2 linked regions of the Arabidopsis thaliana genome follow. The protein of the gene in region 2 interacts with the protein of the main gene of each other region in a pairwise test. Each region holds a gene or a part of one and is shown on either strand. Other genes may lie near its edges.

What was found.
Region 1: the proteins of LOL2 (region 2) and ASIL2 interact in binary tests that used the Arabidopsis thaliana proteins (3 or more experiments, as listed by UniProt).

The regions. Positions count from the first base shown.
Region 1 is NC_003074.8:4,705,333-4,710,996, forward strand, and holds ASIL2 (sequence-specific DNA binding transcription factor), read right to left. Parts: upstream 3,845-5,664; 5' UTR 3,290-3,844; coding exon 1,958-3,289; 3' UTR 1,470-1,957; downstream 1-1,469. Other genes in the region: AT3G14190 (uncharacterized protein), read left to right, coding at 5,575-5,641. UniProt on the Arabidopsis thaliana protein: Transcription regulator that may repress the maturation program during early embryogenesis.
Region 2 is NC_003075.7:11,485,936-11,491,763, forward strand, and holds LOL2 (lsd one like 2), read left to right. Parts: upstream 1-3,040; 5' UTR 3,041-3,133; coding exon 3,134-3,302; intron 3,303-3,484; coding exon 3,485-3,592; intron 3,593-4,050; coding exon 4,051-4,160; coding exon of another isoform or gene 4,161-4,217; exon of another isoform or gene 4,218-4,284; coding exon 4,285-4,365; 3' UTR 4,366-4,488; downstream 4,489-5,828. Other genes in the region: ENDO5 (endonuclease 5), read left to right, coding at 36-146, 267-322, 494-577, 658-750, 853-920, 1,025-1,098, 1,182-1,300; AT4G21620 (glycine-rich protein), read left to right, coding at 5,584-5,828. UniProt on the Arabidopsis thaliana protein: Putative zinc finger that may be involved in programmed cell death and defense response.

The sequences.
Region 1 (5,664 bases), on a different chromosome or scaffold from region 2:
TTGTCGAGATTCTTTCTCTGCTTTCTATATTCAGCATCCTCTTCTTAAAGCTTATTAAAACCCTAACAATGAAGATTGTTTTCTTCTGTTTTTGGCTTCACTCAAAACTCTCAAGTCAACTTCGTAATTAATTTCACTTCCGCTGATGGATTCAATATCTCTCCCATCATTGTGTGTCTCCTTCCTTCCGCCGTAATCTATCTTTGTCAAAAATCTACTTTAGAGAGAGAAAGTGAAATCAAGAGAAAGAAATAAACGTTCTTCAGACAAAAATCACCATTTTTGTTGACGTGAAGTAGCGTATACGATGACAAAACAAAAAAAAAAAGAGAGTAATAGAGCGTAAAATTTGAAATATTAAATTAAACAAAAATCAAAGAAAGTCGGCAGTAATTACGAAATTCCGGAAACAGGTCTCGCCGAATCCTAAACGGCTTTCGTTAGTTACCCATAATACCCTTTTATTCTTCGAATTTATTGCTGTGAAGTATATAAATTGGAGGGGTAAATTAGTCTCTTACCCACAGATGGGCCAAGGAACAAATGGGTATATTGGTACTTTGCCTTTCAGATCCAAATATTTAACGTTAAGAGTAACAACGATTCGCTGTTTTAGAGTAAAATCTCTATGTGCAAAATGTATATTATGTTAAATAAACACTGTACTAAATAGATGCTGACAAAAAGAAGTATTTAAATTAGAGCTTATTCTACTCTACTGAAAATTAATAATATTAACACCAACCATTTTTATTCCAACTTTTGGAGACACTTTAAATCAAATGATGGACCCCCTGAAAAAATATCTAATTATAGGATATCACTCTTTATTCTTCTTTAATTTTAATGGACAATTGACCCTAACTATATATTTATAATGGAGACATGGCTTTAAATCCTACCCAATTCTTTCTTTCTTTTTGGTATCTTTTCTTGCCCACTTTAAAAAAAAAAAAAGAATATTCATTTGTTACATTAATAATTTACTATTTCTTTAGTAATCACTACTTTTATTGCTAGATTTAGTTCCAAAAAAAAACTTTATTTTGAAAAAAAAAACTTTATTTTGAACTTTACTAAGGAAAAATCTTGATTAGTAATCCTAGTGATACCAATATATCATTAGATAATATCTAATCTATATGTCTAAACACACGTGGACCTTTGGAATCAAACTCTTTTCTACCTAAAACAAAAACAAAATTCAGAAGATTTCAAGATGCTTTATTTCTTACGTTTTCATTATTGTATTCGTTTCAAAAAAAAATAAGAATAGTGCAAGTTAGAATGATGTTACGGTGGGACTCGGAAGATGGTATTTTTACTCAAATATCATGATTCACCTTTCGATACATGAATATTAGCTTAGTGCGGAAGGTAAAATTGTGAGAAACATCTATGTGTAATGAATTTGAATTGACTGTCATTTGTTTAGTACCTATAAAATGCCAAAAGGCAAACATCATAGAAAAATAAATAAACAGACCAACGAAAAGGTTTCTTGCCTAACATTCTTCTTTTATAGAAGATCATCATTGGTGGTTTGAATGATGCTTCAGACACAAGAAAATCTAGCTCAAACAATTACTCAAAAGAAAAAGAGTTAAAAAAATGCTTTTAGGTACACATGCAAATCTCCAATGTCATAATAACCAAACATAGCTTTAAGATTTTGCGGTTGGATTGTGTCAAAAATGTCCTATGCCATGTTCTAACCTAACTAGTGAAACACAATCTAACTCAGAGATTAAGAGAAGTTCAAAAACGTGCACAAGAGTCTGCAGCAGAATGATCTCAGGCAATCTAGTGAAGTTAAATCTGTTCCATATGACCAAAGTTAAGAAAGATATGCAAAATATTAATACACTCATGAAGCCTAGATAAGTTTCAGTTTCTCTTTCAACAATTAAAGACTCAAATCTAAAATATATCAATTACGACACTGCATCACTAAATTCTAGTTATTACCCAAATCGTTGTTGTTGTTGACAATCGCATTGATGTTGTTCTTGCGGCTGTGATGATGATCATTACTGGTGTTTCCCATTCTCCTCCCATGTTGCTGCTTAAGTTGTGATATCTCCAATTGAGTCTTCACAAAGAACTGCATTCTCTGCAACTCAAGCTCCTTCAAGAACTTCATCCTCTCTTTCTCCATCTCAACCACCTGTTGCAGTTTCGCATTCTCTGTTTGCTCATAAGCTTCACCGAATCTCATGATTGCCCGAGTCAGCTCCCTCCATTTGTTCCCCACTCCATCACCATCTTGCTTCTTCTTCTCCTCCGTCTTCATCCTCTTCGACAGAGGAGGAGGTGGTAAACTGTCACCGGAATCATCTGACATTGCTGCTTCAGATTCCGAGTCTGAATCAGAAGCGTTCCTCTTCCTGAAACGCCAGCGTTTCGACTCACTACACCTTTTCACCATCATCCCTTGCTGCTGTTGCTGTGGCAGTGTCCTACCTTGCTGTGGCAGAGTCCTCCCTTGCTGTCCAAACGGAGCTGAACGGCTACTCATCGGAATTCCCATAGGTACATTGACAGATCCTCCTCCGCCTCCTCCACCACTGCCACCGAAAGAAGCAGCTGAGACTCTAGCCGTAGCTCCAATTAACCGGTCAAGATTATTGAAAGGCGGTGTTGCAGCCTTAGCTTGCTGATGGTACAGATTCGAACGACTTCCCATTGGAATACCCATAGGAATCTTATGCAATCCTCCGACAGGACCGCTGACTCCAGAAGTTGCCGTCGGGATCTTCGCCGTTGATCCAATCAGACGGTCAAGCTTGTCGAAGAACACCCATCTGCTACGGCCACCGCCGTTAGCGATTCTCACCTTCTCTTGTTTATACTTCTTCTTCACCGTATCGATCCTATTCTTACACTGTATATCAGTTTTGGGAATTTTACCGTAATCCTCTCTGCTGCTCACAATCTCAGCCACCTCTTTCCAGTGCTTCTGCTTCAGATTCCCTCTGCTAAGCTCCAAGTATCTCTCACCCCACGCATCAATCAACACAGCCGTAGCTGCTTCGCTCCAACAATCCTCCCTCCCGCCGCCGCCGGTTGGTCTCCCACTGCTGTTATTCCCTCCACCGCTGGCCTGAATCGGAAGCAGCGCCAGAGCCAACGCATCCGGATCCTTCTGCGACGAATTACCCGGAGGAGTCAGAGAATAAGAAGGCGGACCTGCCGAAGCCACCGTAACCGTGATTCGTCCCGCCGGCGGGGAGGAAGACGGATCAGGTGAATCGGAACCCTGAGATCGGATGTCTTCATCGTCCTCCATGGAATTCGATATCGCCGGATCTGAGTCAGAAGCTCGTGAAAGAGGGAGATAGGGTTAGGGTTTGGGTTAATATTCTGTTCGGGAGGGGTAAACGGGAAGGAGACGGCGTCGGTGAGTAGAGGGGACACGTGGAAGGACGTGAGAAGATACGGGGAGATGACGTGGAATGACGTGATTGGTAGGTCAGAGGTAAGATTCCGTCACCGGTAAAGTTGCCGGCTCGGTTTAGGGGTAAAAGATGGGTTTGTATCGTAATTTCCCCATTTCTTCGTAATCCGATGAGGAAGTGTATTGACGGAAAAGCCCATCTAGTTTTACTATAATTACCGGAACTATCCCCGTGAACCATTTTTCCGGTGATGTACCGAAATTACCCTTAGCCTAACCGTCAGTTTCAATATCGGTCGTAGACTTTTTTTAGTCCGTCGATAGTTTCCAGTTGTCTTCCTTCGTTGTCTTGCTTCATTCGTTAAATCGATTCGAATTAGTCTCTCTTTTAACAATAAGAACGGTGACGTGGATGTTATTTACTTTGGGCATGGGTTTTTATTGGGCTTTCCATACGCTACGTTAGCATGTTATCACTTAGTATCATTTTTTCTTTTCACCATTGTCAAAGATACAACTTTAAACATTCCAGAAATACTATGTTTCAAAAAGACCTTATATAATCTTCGTGAATTGTGAAACAAACAGAAATTTAATATTTCTCAAATCTCAAAACACCAAAAGCGACCATTATGTTATGTACACAGCAAATATATATATACAAAGAAAAGTAGTTTGGGATACTTCTTCTTCTCGTAGAAATACCTTGTAATATTTTTCAACGGTCCAATGCGTTTAGCACAATCCTGCAGTATTACCGGACGTTAATTAGATATGGTGGTACTAATGAAAGCGATAATGCGTTGGATAAAATGAAGTATAGTTTGAGAGGAAAGAAAAGAGAGGGAGATCAAACCAATCGCAAGCATTGAGACTTGTAGCATGTGTTTCACTTGGTGTTCCAGCTGCATACAAATGATTTTGGTAATCATTAATTTACAAATCCATAATACTCTCAAGCTAATAATGATTATGGATGTCAAAATAAAAAAAAAAAATAATAAAAAAAAGCTTATAATGACTATGAACATATGTATCACCTTGCAAAGTCTTTAATTTACATGAATATATAGGGTTTTAACTGCTCATAACACAAGCATAGAAGATAAAAAAAAAGTGGATCAGAAAGGATTTTTAAAAAAGGTAACATAAGAGTCAAAGGGGAAACGGGGTTGCTTGAACGGTCAGGAGAATTCGGGACACGTTTCAGATCCACCATCAACTTCCGGTTGGCACTTTCACCGGATATGTGGTTTCTCAACTTCCCGAGACCATTTTCCGGCGTTGGACCGGCCAAAGTTTCATCCCACAACTTGTGCGAAAAACCCATATCTCTGATCAAATTATTAGAAGGGTTTTTCTTGTTAATTGTCTCTAATGTGTTTTGAAAAGAGTTTTTTTTTTGTTAAGTCTTCTTTATGTGAGGATAATGGTTTTATATAAGGAACAGGAACGAGAAGCGTTGAATATCCTTGGTTAGACTAATTATATACACTTTACCTATAATTTAACCTTCCAAAATTAAGGAGATTTAATCAAGGATGATGATAAATCTAGCCGATAAGAAGATAACTTAGAGAAGTGTGACATGTTTTGCTTCTATCTTACATGATAGTTTGATGCCGTCAATTTGATTTATGTGATGGGCCTGTACCTGGGCCAATTCTTGATTAGGCCTGCATTAAAATATTCTGCCAACGGCTAGAAACTTTTTCTCTTCTTCTATAAATTTACTTTTTTTGGCCTAATCCCGGAGGTTCTTCATTATTTCGTCAGAACAACATTGAAAAGTTACCGTTAAACACTCTAAGCGCTCTTCTTCATCTTCTTATACACTTCTCTTCCAACAAGAATCTCACCAAGAAACTTCTTCACTTTTACAAAGGTAATCTCTTTCTTCCTTCTGATTTAGGTTCACATTATAGACTGTTCTTCTTGCGATTGTTTGTTCTTCTTTTCGTATGTCGCTACTTGATTCGTTCTGGGTTTCTGGGGTCTGTGGTGTTAAATTTGCTTGAGGATCGAATTGGGTTTTGTGAAAAAAACGATCTTTGTTTCGATTTCGAGTTGGGTTTCTGTTACCTTTTTTAGGGTTTCTAATTGCTTAAAATCGTCAGTTCTGGAATCAAATCTTCGTTTCTGCAATTGGTTCTTTGATGATTCACAGTTAAAACCATATGGCGAACATGAACGCTCTTCAACAAATGATCTTCCCAGACGAGAACGCTCCAATTCATCGCAAAAGTAGTTAATCTTTCTCTACTCTC
Region 2 (5,828 bases):
AAGTTCAACTCTATGTCCTTTTGTGTTTTGTGAAGGGGACTGCCATGACACTCATAAGCATAAGGACTGGTGTGTGACAGGAGCGATCTTCAATTACACAAACCAGTTAATGTCTGCTTCTGAAAACTCACAGAATATAGTCCACTGTGAGTTAGATTTTAAGTGAATCTGATACTTCTTTTAATGTTTCAGTTTACTGATTTCTGTGTGAGTACATCGATCATAATAGTGTGACTTAGAAGTCTTTTTCTTTCTGTTCTTGGCAGACAACTTGACAGAGGCTCTCTTGTTCTTGTCACATTATATGGGAGATGTTCATCAGGTTAGTCCTTTTTGCAAATTCAGTCGAATCATAATATTACAAACAAATGCTGTCAGAGTTATATGCATTTGAGGCTACTACTCTATCTACTCTGGACTCTGGAGGTTTGATTAGTGTATAGTAGCAACACAAGAGTATGGCTAATCTTTATGTGGATTATGATTTTCGCAGCCCTTGCATACTGGTTTTCTTGGAGATCTAGGTGGTAACACAATAATAGTCAACTGGTACCATAACAAATCAAATTTGCACCATGTAAGTGCTTTGTTTTTTAGTCATATTGATGCTAAAAAGTATCTTTCCTGACACGGAAGTGGAACGATCTTAACTTGAAGGTCTGGGACAACATGATAATTGACTCTGCTCTAGAAACATACTACAATTCAAGCCTTCCACACATGATTCAAGCTCTTCAAGCCAAACTCAAGGTACAATCTTGCCTTCTCTAATCAGCTTCAGCAAGTTATAGCCGTATCCAAGATAAACACAACTTACATTGAGTGTTTGTTGTTACGTCTGTCTTAATATAGAACGGCTGGTCGAATGATGTTCCGTCGTGGAAGTCATGTCACTTTCACCAAAAGGCCTGTCCAAATCTGTAAGCAAGCATCTATATATCTGTTAAGTTGCTTAATAGCAGAGAAAACTTAGTTTTCGTTACCATATCATTGTTGATTCTCTTTGTTCTTTGATGTGTTAAAGGTATGCTTCTGAAAGCATTGATCTCGCCTGCAAGTATGCTTACAGGAACGCTACTCCGGGGACTACTTTAGGAGGTATACTTACTCTATGAAACCAGATCGTGGCTTTTTGTTTTCTTTAATCATGGACATGACTTGATCTTCTGCTTTCTCTGCAGATGAGTATTTCCTTTCTCGGTTACCCGTTGTAGAGAAGAGACTTGCACAAGGTGGGATTCGCTTGGCAGCTACTCTTAATCGTATCTTTTCTGCAAAACCGAAGCTCGCAGGATTATGAATCTAAGAAAAAGATCCTTGAGAACCCACGTAACAACTCCTTTTAAGTGTTTTTTATAACACTGTGAATGGTTGAGTCATGACTAATGAGTGAACCTCCAAAATCTTCATGCAAAAATTTGTTATTTTGGGACATGGTTCAAACTTCCAATAACAAACCACACTAACGGATAACACTTTGCATTTTTTTTGTTTGTTTTCAGTTTTGTTAATTAGTATCCTTCTTCTTATCTTATGAAAAAGGTAAGTTAACATAAAGGAGTAAAATAGAAAAAGAAGTTAGATTTCCTCATTAGATTAGGAATGATAATTCGCTATATAAAGATTTCAAGTGAGACATAAAAAGCCTAAGCGCAAAACACACAAAAAAGAGTTTCTTACGTGAAAAGCTACTTAAACCCTAAAAGAGAGAGAGAAAAAAAAAGCAAAGCCGACACAGCTAGCGCTCTCGGGTGCACTTCCACAGCAATGAACGGAGAAGAGCCACCTTTTAAAAGAAGACGGATGAATTTTCTTATGCTTCCTGATGATTTGGTTTTAAACTGTTTAATTTGGCCCGCATCTCAAGATAGTACTATCCAACTCTCTCTTTAGTATCCAAGAGATTCCGCTCTATCCTTACTTCAACGGAGCTTTACCAGACCCAAACTCTCTTAGGCCGCACCGAGAGTTGTTTGTACGTGTGCTTAACGCAGATTACATATGACGCTTCTAACCCACAATTAATTTGGTTCACTCTTTGCCGCAAACCAAATAGCTCAAAAAAGATTTTAATCCCAATTTCATATCCTAAATCTGCATCATGGTCGGATAGTGTAGTGGCTGTTGGTCCTAATATCTACGCTATTGGGGGATTCAGTAATAATAGAACTAAACCTTCGTCTAGCGTCATGGTCATGGATTGTCGTACTCACACATGGTGTGAGGCCCCTAGCATGCAGGTTTCCCGTGTGTTCCAATCTACTTGCGTCCTTGATGGGAAAATATATGTAACAGGAGGCCGCGGAACTCTCGATTCAACGAAATGGATGGAGGTTTTTGATACGAAAACCCAAACTTGGGAGTTTTTGCAATTCCCGAGTGAGGAGAAGATATGCACAGGCTATAAGTGTGAGAGCATAGTGTATGAAGGAACTGTCTATGTAAGGTCGTATTTTCATAATGTGACTTACAAGCTGCATAAAGGTAGATGGATAGCGGCAGACTTAGCGATGAATAATGGATGGCGTTGCTCATCATTTTTTTGTGTGATAAAGAACGTGTTCTACTGTTGCAATAGAAGTGGTAACGGTATGATCGATTGGTATGACTCGGAAAAAGGATCATGGACAACTATGAAGGGGTTGGAAAGATTGCCTAAAGTTTATGGTAATGTTAAATTGGCATATTATGGTGGAAAAATGGTGGTGGTGTACGTGGAGTGCTAAGGAGTGGGGTAACGTGAGAAAAATTTGGTGTGCGGAAATTACGATTGAAAAACGCAAGGATGGAGAGATTTGGGGGATACTAGAATGGTTTGACGATGTATATAAAGCCAAGGATGAGCTAGAATATTTAGCTGTAGTGCATGCTGTTGTTACTACCATCTGATTGATAAGAGAGTCATGTGAACATTGTTCATTGATTCACCGATGCAATAACGAATTTATCTACTATCATTTGTTTTGATTTTCTTTCTAAATCTTTTTTGTTTGTTCTTGTATTGAATTTTACCTTACATTTATTAAGAAAGTCAACTATTTGTCAACGTTACTGGAAAGTTAAAAAGGTAAAAGTAATAATAATCTGAGAGTTAACTTTGGACATCTTCGCCGGAGCCGAGACGGAAGGCGTGATGGAAGAGATACAACAACAAACGCAGAAGGAAGAACAAAAGCACCGTGAAGAAGAAGAGGAGGAAGAGGAAGGTCCGCCTCCGGGATGGGAATCTGCAGTTCTTCCTCCTCCAATCGTCACCATCACCGCCGCCGTAAACCCCAATCCCACCACCGTAGAAATTCCCGGTATTCTTGTAGTCTTGTCTATTTTAGGGTTTATCGATTTGCTTCCATTTCTTGCTACAGTCTGATCAAATTAGAGATTTTTAGTGGAGTTTGTAGACTTTTAGAGATAACCCATTTTCGATTCCGAGAATTGATTAGTGTTTTTTTTCTGCAAATCTTCTTTGTTTTTGGGGTTGTTGCAGAAAAGGCCCAAATGGTATGTGGATCTTGCAGGCGTTTGCTTTCTTATCTAAGAGGATCCAAACATGTTAAGTGCTCCTCTTGTCAGACTGTTAATCTCGTTCTTGAAGGTTCGTTCTTCCATGGCTTTTTTATCTCTTATTCATTACTTGAAAAGCTTTTGTTGATAATCTCAGTCACTTGAAACTCTTAATGGAACAATCTTGGAATGCTCTCTCAGTCTAGTTTTACTTAGCATGTGTGAATGATATATCTATGTTCTTTTGAGAATCTCAAAATGTAAGCTTCCTGAGACCAAATGAGTTTAGTTCTTAACTGACACAAGAATGATCTTTGGTTAGGATTCTTCTCTTAAGCTTTTGTGAGCCTTTTGGTCTCTACTCCATCATAATGTCTCCTTTGTAGACCATTTATGTGGTCTTTATCCTTTACTCTTACTACTCTTGGGGAAATTGTGTGATCTTAAGACCAAGATTGTTCTTCTTAGCTTGTGAATCACTTGGCCTCATTATTGATGAAATAGCCTTCTTCTCTTATCGGTTCTGGACTTGTCGTTCTTTGTTTGCAGCTAACCAGGTTGGTCAGGTGAATTGCAACAATTGCAAACTGCTACTGATGTATCCTTATGGAGCTCCAGCTGTTAGATGTTCCTCCTGCAATTCTGTCACAGATATCAGTGTATGTATTCACAGATGGTTTTGTGCTCCATGTCCAAATCATACTTGGAAGAGTTGATACATTTTGAGATCCGAGTAAGTAATCATCTGATGAATCATTTATAATAAACTGTGTTATATTTCAGGAAAACAACAAACGACCTCCATGGTCTGAGCAGCAAGGACCACTCAAAAGTTTAAGCAGTCTCAGGAGAGCAGAGAATTAAACTTGAACCGATTTTTGTCAATTTTGAACCGGTTTGACGACTAAAAACCTTGTAATAATGTCGAAGGATAGATGAAATAAAATCACCATTAATAATCTCATTGAATTCCCATTCTTTCAGATATTACTTGCTCATCATCCTTTACTGTTTTAAGCTTTAGTGGTTAAAAAGAATGTGTATATATCCATACAAAAGTTGATATATGTACTGGACCAATATAAACAAACACAGCTCACAGTCTCACACAATACATAAAAACAAAATTCATATTTCACAGGTGAGAAAAACTAACTAGTAGTCTACTTGGCCGAATTTGTCAATGAATTTCAATAATTAGGTCGTATAAATAGCAAACAAAACATGGACTCTTACCCAACCAAATATGCATAAATAATTTACATTACAGTTTCATATAAAATACAAACTAATGGTGGGTCCTCGAGAGAGCTAACAAGAGCTGTGTGTGGGTGAAGAACCAACTTGTCAACGAAACCAATTTAATGGAAATCAACCCTAAATTTAATGAAACCTTGGACGAAACTTACATTTTGTTAACCAGTTTATCCTTTTAAATCAAACCTGCATAGATTTTGATTTAAGACTTGAAAGTCTTAAATGATATGGTTGGATTGAAATAATGAGTGGGCCTTATAGAACAGATTAAATTATGAACACCACAAGTTTCTTTTTTTGTGCGAGTAATAAAACAGTTGCTTAGAAATTTGTTGTGTTTATAAATAGACACTATTATTAACACACAAATTTTTGAATTTTTGGCAGATGGTTACAGAGAATACCAATTGTGGATTTCATCCAAACTTTAGGTAATTAATCCTTTATTTTTTTTATCATGAACACATCTGTCAAAAGTCCTCCACTATCAAATCTTAATTTAAACTATCTGTCGCTCTTTGAATAACACATGCTTAAATTAAATGTCGCCAACGCCAAGTGCTGCTAAATAAAAATATTTGAACAGTCTCTCAACTAGTTACGCAAGTAATAGAGACTATAGAGAAAGACACAAGAGTCTTCTTTGCAAAGTAGAGTAGTAGTACGGGCATTAAAGTGATTGTATTACACACTAAAGTCCACGAATCATTGTCTTAACTGTATTTTCATACCTTCCAATTTAATGCTCTTCTCTATCTTTATATATCATCCAGCTTTTTATTTAATCTCCTCAACCAAACCCACTAAATATCTACATTACCAAAAATGTTCACAAAATCTATCCTTTTGGCTTCTCTTCTTATCATCATCCTCGTCTCTGCAACTGAATCAGCTCGTCAAAAGAGCGGGAACGATGGTTTAGGATTCGGTGGTGTACCCGGATCCGGATTTATACCCGGGTTTGGAAACGGGTTTCCGGGGACTGGAGTTGGTGGTGGATACGGTGGAGGGTTTGGTGGTCCTAGCGGAGGGTTTGGGAAAGGAGGTGTGGTGAGACCAACGGTTACTTG